Linked DNA regions of Callithrix jacchus. The protein of the gene in region 3 purifies or fractionates together with the protein of the main gene of each other region. This does not show direct contact. Links are inferred from orthologs where the notes say so. Each region holds a gene or a part of one and is shown on either strand. Other genes may lie near its edges.

Region 1 (3,745 bases), on a different chromosome or scaffold from region 3:
ACTCAATGTTAGACATTCCAAGGGAGAGACACAGATATTCTTGGAAGAGGAGCAAGGAGACAGAGCAGCATCCTGTCCTGCTGCCCTTCACAGGGAGTCAAGAGCGCTTCTCAGATAGCACAGACCAGGTCAGGCCTAACAGGGGCCCTCCATTCCTCTGTGCACCTCCAAGAGGAAGTCTTTGCAGTGCAGAAAATGTGTTTGTTGAGGGGACCAAGAACCTTAATCTAGGGGTAATGGGGTCAGTCGGGAGGGGAAGTTCCAGTCTTGGGGTTTCCCCATGTCAGGTGGGGAAAATGAAAGCCAGTGCTGAAGGGTCTAGGTCGGGACAGCTGCCTTGGGGCATTAGTGAGGACGGTAACTTGGCTAAAAGGCCCATCTGGGCTGGGAGGGGGCTGCTTGGGCAGGAGGGCGGCAGGCTTTGGCGGCAGGCAGCAAGAGAGGCCCAGGAGAGTGACGGAGGGGAGGGAGGAACCGCTCTGGAAATCCCCTCGGTCAGGGCCTGCTCTCTGGGTCACATTCTTGCAGCCACCTCCCTCTCTCCCCCAGTATCCCCTCCTCCCACTTCCTCTTCCCACTTCCATACCTTCCACAGCCCAGATACCTCCAATGGAGAAAAATGCCCCCTCCTCTCTGCGGACTCGCTGGGGAGCCTGGACCCTTCTCCCCACCACACACACACCCAGTCTGGATACAACACCTGCTTCTAACTAGAGATGGAAAAGGCTGGGGCTGAGAGACTAATTAAAGAGGCAGGGTCAAAAGTCCCCTCTCCTTGGATCAAATGTCATCAGAGGCATCATGCATGCAGCCCCCAAAACCTTGGGGTTCTGGGCCTGAAGGCTGGTGATCCAGGCAGAGTACGAAAAGGACTGGGTCACTCCTCCCCCACCCACTGGGTCCACCAGCTGTCTTTATCAATGGTCACCCAGGATTAGGCTCCTGCACCTCCAAAAAGCAGGTTAGGACAGCCACCTCCTGCCTCTCCTACTCCTATGTACTTGAGCACCCTTGATCAAGAATTCCAGCCCCCGCACCAACTCTATATATCAGCCCCAGATCCCAACCTTCCCCTCCTCTGTCAATGTCTTCTTCTTCCTGGGGGGTGCTAAATCCTCAGCTGGCCAACCCATCCCACACAACTGCCTTTTACATCAACTGTCCTCTGGCCCACTCCCACCAAACTCCACCTGGGTCTGGAGCAGGAAGGGTTAAATGAGGGAGTAAGGCATGACAGTTAGTGGGATTGGGGGGCCCTGGAGGTAGAGGATGTCAGGGATGCTGACTCTAGCCCTCACTTCCCCTTTCTTAGCAGAGGAGGAAGTAAGCTGGGGCAGCCAGCCTCCTGTCTGTCTGCTGGGGCAAGAGTGCCCCAGCCTGGCTCACCCCTCTTCCTGAGGACCAGCCCCAACTCTACACCCTGGTGGCACCCCTCCATGCCTAGCTTCCTGGCCCCCGAATGGCACCCTGTAACTGGCACCTTTTGGTCCTTGAGACAGAGAACTCTGAGCTTAGGAACTGGGAATCCCAGATATTGAGCAAATAAGGATGTCCCCTTCCCCAGCAAGGAGAAACAAAAAAACTGGACTTGGTCAGGGGAATTTTCTCTTCCTAGGAGTGGATTACTGGTAGATTTCCAAGATGCTGGCTGTGGTCCCTGGGTAAGGGTCCTGCCAGCTCTGCCCACCCCAAAATGGGCGGACAGAGATGATGCCAGGTTTTCTGGTCTGGGCCTGCCTGGACCTCAAAAGTGGGCTGAGAGTTATGTCGGAGTTTGGAAGAGCGAATGGGGACTTGAAAGAGCCTAAGCGGGGAGTGGGGGTGCCCGGCCTGTTGCGGCTCTTGGGCAGGCCCAGAGTTAGCATCCCGCATCAGCCTAGCCCCCATACTCACGTGTCTCCGTCCTCGGAGATATAAGTGAGTGCTTCCAGCTGCTGAGGGCTCAGCGCCCCCGCGTGGGGGAGTGGCGAGCGTGGGGCCGGGTCCTCAGCCTCGGGGCCCCCCAGCAAGGACAAGGTCTCGGTGAGCGAAGAGGAGCCATAGGTGGAGTCAGCCCGCTCCCCATCCGCATCTTCCTTCTCCTGTGGTTCCTTGGCGGGCCCCGGAGGATGGGTGCAGGGCTGAGGGCCGCCGTCCGAGGGCCCGGAGGCTGGAGCCGAGGTGGGTTCGGGTAGGGAGCGCAGAGAGCGCAGAGACTCAATGCCAGAGTCGTACTGGCCCTCGTCCGCCTCGTCCGGTCCCTTCCGAGCCTCGGACATGCCCGCGGCGCCGGCCCGCGGGGGTCCAGTCCGAGCAGGATCCAGCTCCGAGCTCCGCCGCGCCGCCTTTCCGGGTTGCGGGTCCACTTAGCAGAGCGGGCGCCCGGCCCGCGGCGGCCTCCTTCCCGGGCTGTGGGGCTCCGAGGGGCCAGCGCGCAGCGAGGACAGGGTTCGGAGCGCTGGCCGGGTCCACCCAACGGTTACTCCGGGTAGCCGGGCCGCCCAAGCAGGTTCTCCTCCTCGCCCCGCCCCCCCGGACCAAAGAGGTTTCACTGCTCCAGATGGCCCCGCCCCGCCCCGCCCCCAGCTGGAGCTTCCGGAAAGAGACCCCGCCCCTCCGGAATCCCCCTTCCCGGCCTCTACGTAGGCTTGGAGTCTGTGGTTCCCGGGCCCTGACTCACTCCTTCGTTGATTCATTCACTCATTCATTCATTCACTCTTTCCCCCTTCCTCTTACACTCCATTCATTAGTTCCACGCATTTACTCTTTCCGTCTTTCACTTCTATTTCTTCATTCGCTTTATTTTGATTTTTTTGAGACAAAGTCTCGCTCTGTTGCCCAGGCTGGAGTGCAGTGGTGCGATCTCGGCTTACTGCAACCTCCGCCTCCCAGGTTCAAGCGATTCTCCTGCCTCAGCCTCCTAGTAGCTGGGACTACAAGAAAAGATGAGAGGTCTCACCATGTTGCCCAGGCTGGTCTCGAACTCCTGGGTTCAAGCGAGCTGCCTGCCTCGGCCTCCTAAAGTGCTGGGATTACAGGCTGTGAGCCACCAGGCCCAGACCATTAATTTGTTTTAAAGAAATATCTATTAATTGTCTCTATAAGCTGGCGTCTTTGAGGGTGGGCATGTGCGTGGTGGGATGGGGAAGCACTGCTTCCTATCCCCTGCCCATTTATCTCAATTTCTCTGGCTTTCTCATCTTTCCCTATCAGTGCCCAGGAGTATCGGTAGGGAAAGGGGACTCCCATCATCTTTAAAGGACTTGTTCTCCTGGGTCCTGGAAGACAGTCTCCTGTGTCAACTTCCCACATCACATGGAATTGGGCATGAAAATGTTTTTTTGGAAAGAGCATCTTCTCAAGCAGACTGTTGTCTAAAAAGCAAAGTGGTTATGGGGTTTCTTCTTCCTTAAAGAGTGAAGCCCTGGTCTTGGGCAGTTACAGTTTCTGGTCACCCCCAGCAGTCAAAAAAGTGGGGCCATGTTGGGGAGGCCCTGACATGCTGGGTTGCACTCTGCTCAGGTCCCCACCACTGCCTCAGTCTTAGTCCCAGAACATCTTTCCTCTTTCCCTGTCCCTGGGCCTAGGGAGGCCATAGGAGAACCCCACCACAAGTTAGCCCTAAACCAGTGCCCCATGATTTATTCCCTCGTTCCTCCCCACTACTCCAAGTGCTACCAGCCTAGTGCCAGCAATGTTCTTAGAGGGTTATCTCCAAGGGAACAGTTAGCTTTTCCATCTCCAGCACTGGGGAAAGGAAAGTGGA
Region 2 (3,745 bases), on a different chromosome or scaffold from region 3:
TCCTCTAATGAAGAGCAGCTCTAGGGGACTGGGAGGGTGAAGGGAAAGCCCCCCCGCCATTAATTTCACAGAATACTGAAGCAGTTCAGACTCACCTCATCCTCCGTGAATTCTGACTCTGTGTCATAGCTCTCCTCATCCTCACTCTCTGGCAGCATCTGAAGGTTTTCTAGTGTCAGCTGGCCCAGCTGCTGCTGTATCCGGGTGCTTGGGCGACCCCAGGTAAGCTGGTAAGGGGAGTAGCCCTGGTAGGTAACTCTGTTGACATCAGCCCCACACTTCAGCAGGAGCGACACCAAGTCAGGATTCTGCAGGTCCACTGCGAGGTGAAGGGCAGTCCGGCCATTACAGGGCTCCTGAAACCAAAAGGAATTTGAGATGCCTATGGCTGCGTTTGGAATTTCTGCTTGCAACACAAGCACGAGGAGCTTGACTCAGAACATGGGAGGCAGGAAGCACTCACCTGAGCATTGACATCAGCACCCAAGGATACCAAAAGCTCCACGATGCCCAGGTAGCCATGGATAGAAGCTAAGTGCAGACACGTGTGGCCTGGAAGAACAAAAGGAAAAAAGCATAACCATTTGTTTCAACCCTCCTAAAGCAGCACCTTTCACCTATTCTTTTATGGGACAAACAGTCATGTCTTCTGAATTTTAAGAACCCCAGTCTGGGTTCTGAAGGGACTTTTAAAATGTATCCAATAGGCATATTGCACACATCTTTTCTCGATCTTTCACAGGTTGGGAGTTTAAGCTCTTTCCTGGACTCCCTAAGTTGGCCCACGTGCCCTTTCTGCATGTCACCTGCCCTCTGAGGGGGTGGGGCAGGGCAGGAAGGCAGACATACCATTGTAGTTGGTAGCTTTCAGGATGGAGTGGAGGTGTGGGGTGGTGCAGGCCTGAGTCAGGACTCCCACGCTGGCCAGGCAGCCCTGCTCACAGGCAAGGTGTAGGGGGGTATTTCCTCGAAAGTCTCGGAGCTCAGGATCACAGCCAGCTCCCAGAAGTGCCTCAGCAATTTCTGGCTGGTTGGTGATCACAGCCAAGTGTAGTGGAGTCTACCAGTGCAAGAGAAACCAGAGAGAGTAAGCCATGAATCAAACCCACACCCCGAGTTCCCCGGATCCCCAATGTCTCCTGGTTGGGTGCTGCTCCTCCCAGGTGGGAGGGTGGGGAGGGCTGGCAAATAGCAGAGGCTCCAGGTGGGTCATAAAGACCTCACCAAATCCATAGAATTTCCTTCCCTCTCTAGGATGGGGGCTGATGCGAAGTAAACGGCAGGGGTGAATAATGCCCAGTGGCCCTTAATTCAGAAAGGATCTGGGGTGACTCTGCTACATCAGCTCTGTCCCAGGGTCAAAGAAAGCCCGGGCCAGGCACGTGCGCACCTGCTGCAGGTTGTTCTGGAAGTTGAGGAAGGCCACGTCTCCCTTCACCTGGCGGATTACTTCCATGGTAAGTGCCTTTTCTTCATGGATGATGGCCAAGTGCAGGAACCTGTGGGGAAGAGGGAAAAACCCCCAGGGGTGGTGAGTGCACCGCGTGGGGCCCAGGGAGGCGCGGGCTGCGGGGGATTGCGCAAGGCCGGGGTTTCTGGAGGCCGAGGCCGCGGTGTTTTCCGCGAGGTTATTATGAGCTGAGTGTTCCTGGCAGGCGCCCAGGGACTTTCCGCCCCCCTCCTTCAGGCCTCGGCGGGCGCCGGCCAGACCGCCCCGCCCTCCCGCCGGCTCGGAACGCCCTGTACTTCCCCTCCCGGCTGCAAGGCGCCCGCCAGCGGCCAGAAACTCCCGCCCCGCCTTATGCAACCGGGGACTTCGCGTCCCCACCGCCGCCCCGCCCCCGGCCTAGAGGACGGATGGGGGGGAGGGGGCGTGTGGCGACGCTGCGGTCCACCAGAGCCGAGCCTCTGCCCCTCCTAGTCCAGCCGGAGTCCCGCGCGGCCCTGCGGCCCTGCAGCGTTCGGCGCCGTGCAGGAGCCCCGGGGCGCCGCGGTGCTGGCCCGGCTGCAGCGCTGGTCCCCGGGCTCGGGCTGCAGGCCCAGCACCCCCCAAGCCCCGCCTGCGCGCGTCCGGTCCTCCCAACGACCCCTGGCCCGCGCCACTTACGAGTCCCCGTCCTCGGTGAGCTGCTGCTTCCAGGGCTCGGCGCCGTGCTGCGCCTCCTGCGGCTCTAGGCGGATCTCCCGCAGCTCCTTGACCATCTGCTCGTACTCCTCGTCCTTCATAGAGTCCAGGCCGCTGTCGTGGCGGTCGTCCAGCAGCCGCTCCTTCTTCAGCCCATCGCGGAGGCCCTCCATGGCCCACTCGGCTGCCTGGAACATTGCTCGGGCGAGCTGTGGGTGCTGCTGCGGGTGCGCTGGGCCGCGGGCTGCGCGCTGCTTCCTCGCTGGAGCGCTGGCGAACGGTACGGCGGCGCGGGCTGCTGTGGGCTCTGCAGCGCCGCCCCAACGCCCTTATAAACGCTGGCTGGGGATTTCTCTGGGGCGGGGTCAGGCGCGGGGAATTTCCAAGCCAGTCAGACCAGAAAAGAGAACTGGCTTCGTCCTCTGCTAGGGGGAAAAAGAAGCCTAAACCCTGAGCTGGGGTTCATCGGAGAAACTCCCTGCGATGAGGCACTGGGGTCACGGACAGGGAACTTTTTGATGAGCGCCGAGTGGCTGGAAAGTCCTTCCTACCAGGCCCCCTGCCCCCGGTACTTCCCTGCAGCCTGCACCCTGTAATCCTGTCCCTCTGCAAGTTAACCATTTTTCCCTGGGGTTTCCCACGATCGCTTTGAATTGGGGTCGTCGGCTGCTGAGATCCCAAGGACGCCGACCTGATGGGCAGTCCTTCTTTGGGGTTTGCCAACCTGCCGGTCTTTTCCGTTTTTTGATCTTTTGAAAACGCAAGAGTGGAAATGATGGCTGGGTGTAGGGATTTGCTTTCCGCAGACTTCTCTCTAAGGGGAAGGACGCACTGTGATTAGAAGGCTGCAGGCCGCCGACGTGTTTCTACCAATACCAGGCTCTTTGCAGCACCGGGACGCTTAGCTTCTCCACCCCCACCCCCACCCCCACCCCCACCCCCACCCCCACCCCCACCCCCACCCCCACCCCCACCCCCGCACACCCCGCCAGATAGAAGTTGTGAAAGCTTTGGAGTGAAAACCTAAATCCTTGGAGAACTCTCAAATAAGTTCCTATGGAAGAAGAGCTCTGTTGACTGGGGGAGGGGTGAACTCTCCCTGTACGGGGGAAACTGCTAAATAGGACCAGGATTTTCTTCCCCCTAAGTAAAGCTAGGTGCTAATCTTTGTAGTAGTGGTTGTGGATACTTTGCAATAACAAAATAACTATTGTGTTCCTAAGTAGCGATTTTGTTCATGCTCTCTGACCTACATTGTGCTGCTGCAGAGAATGGATCCTGAGCCTACTTCTGGGTGCAAACTGAGCAATTCTCCAGGAACACTTGGAGAAGGAGACTGAAGAATGAGTTTAGTTAGTACCTTAAACCGCGCTTGGACCGTAAGGACCACTAAGAAACTAGTTGCCAGGCATCCTGCGGGAGGCTGAAGGCAGTCTGGTCCTGCCCGCCCCTCCTTGCTCCATTGTCCGGGGGGACGGTAGCAGTTGGACTCATTCATGCCACCCAGGTAGAAAGGGGTTTGGGCTCACTGTGCTCTGGTTTTACCTGCAGAAATAGAATTTTTGCTCTCCACCCCATCTCCACCTCCAAGTCTACAAGTCATGGACTGAATTCTACTTG
Region 3 (3,645 bases):
GCAATAACAGTGAAACTCTGTCTAAAAAAAAAATTGTACCTGTACCTTATTAATACATTAATACCCTGACAAAAGTCACCTTTGCTTTTCCTTGTTTTTTTTATTTCTGGTGAAATATATATATATATATATTTTTTTTTCTTTTAAATTGAGGCAGGGTCTTGCTTTGTTGCCCAGGCTGGAGTGCAGTGGTGCAACCTTGGCTCACTGCAGCCTTGACCTCCTAGGCTCAAGTGATCCTCCCACCTCAGCCCTACCATGTAGCTAGGACTACAGGCATGTGCCACCACATCCAGCTAATTTTTGTATTTTTTTGTAGAGACAGAGTTTTGCTATCTTGCCCAGGCTTGTCTAGAACCTGAGCTCAAGTAATCCGCTTGCCTCAACCTCCCAAAGTGCTGGAATTACAAGCCTGAACCATAGCGCCACACTCCACCTTCATTTTATTTTTGGGACAAGGTCTCAATCTGTCAGACTGCAGTGATCTTCCCACCTCGGCCTCCCAAGTAGCTGGGATTGTTAGAGATGTGTGCCACCATGCCTGGCACCATGTTGGCCAGGCTGACCTCAAGGGATACACCTGCCTCAGCCTCCCAAAGAACTGGGATTACAGGCATTAGTCACTGTGCCCAGCCAAATGCCAACCCCCCTCCCCAGCTTTTTGAACCATTTGGATTCCAGCCCAGGTGATAGTATAATTACTATCTTTTTTTTTTTTTTTGAGACCAAGTTTCATTCTTGTCCCACAGGGTGAGGTGCAATGGCTCGATCTCGGCTTACTGCAACCTCCACCTCCCAGGGTCAAGCAATTCTCCTGCTCAGCCTCCTGAGTATCTGGGATTACAGGCACATGCCACCATGCCCGACTATTTTGAATTTTTTTTTTTTTTTTTTGAGACGGAGTTTCGCTCTTGTTTACCCAGGCTGGAGTGCAATGGCGCAATCTCGGCTCACCGCAACCTCCGCTCCCTGGGTTCAGGCAATTCTCCTGCCTCAGCCTCCTGAGTAGCTGGGATTACAGGCACGCGCCACCATGCCCAGCTAATTTTTTGTAATTTTTAGTAGAGACGGGGTTTCACCATGTTGACCAGGATGGTCTCGATCTGTTGACCTTGTGATCCACCCGCCTCGGCCTCCCAAAGTGCTGGGATTACAGGCTTGAGCCACCGCGCCCGGCCTTATTTTGAATTTTTAGTAGAGTTGGAGTTTCACCATGTTGGTCAGGCTGGTCTCCAACTCCTGACCTCAAGTGATACACCCGCCTCGGCCTCCCAAAGTGCTGGGATTACAGGCGTGAGCCACCGCATCAAGCCCAGTAGTATAATTATTAATATCTGGTCCAACAACAGTAACAATAGCAACCATCAAATAAACGTATAGATGCATGCTGATGGCTTCCGGGTACAGGTGAAGCCCCAACCCCTCCCGCCCGGGTCCGCGCGCCGGGCCCACCTCGATGGCAGGCAGCGTCTTGCTGGCCTCGGTGCTGCTCTCCCCGAGGATGCTGCCGGCCGAGCGGCCCTCGCACTCGTAGCGGAAGCGCATGCCACGCTGCTTGGGCTGCTCGGTGATGACCAGGTGCGGCTGTGGGCCGCCCGGCGCAGGGGGCACCAGCCGGCCCAGGGGGCAGCCCCAGGGCGGTGGCGTGGCTGGGGGCGCCACAGGCCCCAGGGTGACCGTGCTCAGCGAGGCCGCCCCGCGAGACACCAAGCGCGGCAGTCCCTCGCCCGGGCCGGACTGTGCCCGGTCCAGGCCAAAGCCGTTCTCCTTGATGTACTCATCGATGATCTCTGCGGGAGAAGAAAAAACACGTGGTGACGCTGATTCTTTAAAATAAATAAATAAATAAGGCTTGATTACCCCTAAGACATTTTCCATCCCATTCATCTCTCACACACACACACACACACACACACACGTCAGGGAGGCCAGGTGCAGTGGCTCACGCTTGTAATCCCAGCACTTTGGGAGGCCAAGGTGGGTGAATCACTTGAGGTCAGGAGTTTAAGACCACCCTGGCCAACACAATGAAACCCAGTCTCTACAAAAATTAGCCTGCATGGTCCCACATGCCTGTAGTCCCAGCTACTCGGGAGGCTGAGGCAGGAAAATCGCTTGAATCTGGGAGGTGGACGTGGCAGTGCCAAGACTGCACCACTGCACTCCAGCCTAGATGACAGAGCAAGACTCCATTTAAAATAATAGGGAGGCCGAGGCGGGTGGATCACGAGGTCAAGAGATCGAGGCCATCCTGGTCAGCATGGTGAAACCCCGTCTCTACTAAAAATACAAAAAATTAGCTGGGTATGGTGGTGCGTGCCTGTAATCCCAGCTACTCAGGAGGCTGAGGCAGGAGAATTGCCTGAACCCAAGAAGGGGAGGTTGCAGTGAGCCGAGATCGCGCCACTGCACTCCAGCCTGGGTAACAAGAGCGAAACTCCATCTCAAAAAATAATAATATTATTTTGTTTTACTTTATTTTTATTTCAAATATAAAATAAAACAAGTTGCCAGGCTGGAGTGCAGTGGCGCAATCTCAGCTCACTACAACCTCCAATTCCCTGGTTCAAGTGATTCTCCTGTCCCAGCCTCCCAAGTAGCTGGGATCACAGGCACACACCACCACACAGCTAATTTGTGTACTTTTAGTAGAGATGGGGTTTCACTATGTTGGTCAGGATGGTCTTGATCTCCTGACCTCGTGATCCACCTGCCTTGGCCAATATTATTATTATTGAGATGGGATCTTGCTCCATCTCCCAGGCTTGAGTGCAGTGGTTTAATCATGGCTCACAGCCCGGACCTGTCTAGGCTCAGGGGATTCTCCCACCTCAATCTCTCGAGTAGCTGGGAGGCTACTTTGCCTGGCCTCTTTTCTGTTTCTGGCTCCTACCACATCTGGCCCTCTTCAGGGTCTTGAACTTGCTGCAGGCTGGGCAGTGTGGCTCATGTCTGTAGTCTCAGCACTTTGGGAGGCCAAGGCAGGAGGATCACTTGAGCCCAAGAGTTCGAGATCAGCCTGGGCAACATGGTGAGATGCCATCTCTACAAAATATTGAAAAAAAAATTAGGCATTGTAGTGCCTATAGTTCCAACTACTAGAAAAGCTGATGCAGGAGGATTGCTTGAGCCCAGGAGTTCAAGGCTGCAGTGAGCCGTGATCACACCACTGCACTCCAGCCTGGGCAAGAAAGCACGATCCTATGTTAAAAAATAGGCGGGGTGTGGTGGCTCACGCCTGTAATCCCAGAACTCTGGGAGGCTGAGGCAGGCAGATCACCTGAGGTCAGGAGTTCGAGACCTGCCTGGCCAACATGGTGAAACGCCTTCTCTACTAAAATATAGCCGGGAGAGGGGGCACACACCTGTAATCCCAGCTACTAGGGAGGCTGAGGCAGGAGAATCTCTTGAACCCGGGAGGTAGAGGTTGCAGTGAGCCAAGATTGTGCTATTACACTCCAGCCTGGGCAACAAGAGCAAAACTCCATCTCAAAATAAATAAATAAATACAAATAATACAAAAATTAGCCGGGCTTGGTGGCACACACCTGTAGTCCCAGCTACTTGGGAGGCTGAGGCAGGAGAATCACTTGAACCTGGGAGGTGGAGGTTGCAGTGAGCTGAGATAGCACCACTGCACTCCAG

Evidence for each region.
Region 1: the proteins of RELB (region 3) and NFKBIE purify together in Homo sapiens (affinity purification with mass spectrometry; 3 studies listed by BioGRID and IntAct, counting the BioPlex papers as one, with this or other methods). This does not show direct contact. The link is inferred for Callithrix jacchus from reciprocal best matches to the Homo sapiens genes RELB and NFKBIE.
Region 2: the proteins of RELB (region 3) and NFKBIA purify together in Homo sapiens (affinity purification with mass spectrometry; 4 studies listed by BioGRID and IntAct, counting the BioPlex papers as one, with this or other methods). This does not show direct contact. The link is inferred for Callithrix jacchus from reciprocal best matches to the Homo sapiens genes RELB and NFKBIA.

What each region holds. Positions count from the first base shown.
Region 1 is NC_133505.1:52,728,606-52,732,350, forward strand, and holds the start of NFKBIE (NF-kappa-B inhibitor epsilon), read right to left. Parts: upstream 2,501-3,745; 5' UTR 2,259-2,500; coding exon 1,894-2,258; intron 1-1,893. UniProt on the Homo sapiens protein: Sequesters NF-kappa-B transcription factor complexes in the cytoplasm, thereby inhibiting their activity. Sequestered complexes include NFKB1-RELA (p50-p65) and NFKB1-REL (p50-c-Rel) complexes.
Region 2 is NC_133509.1:69,916,737-69,920,481, forward strand, and holds the start of NFKBIA (NF-kappa-B inhibitor alpha), read right to left. Parts: upstream 2,432-3,745; 5' UTR 2,323-2,431; coding exon 2,108-2,322; intron 1,500-2,107; coding exon 1,391-1,499; intron 1,061-1,390; coding exon 850-1,060; intron 553-849; coding exon 464-552; intron 357-463; coding exon 96-356; intron 1-95. UniProt on the Homo sapiens protein: Inhibits the activity of dimeric NF-kappa-B/REL complexes by trapping REL (RELA/p65 and NFKB1/p50) dimers in the cytoplasm by masking their nuclear localization signals.
Region 3 is NC_133523.1:39,212,826-39,216,470, reverse strand, and holds part of RELB (transcription factor RelB), read right to left. Parts: intron 1,791-3,645; coding exon 1,453-1,790; intron 1-1,452.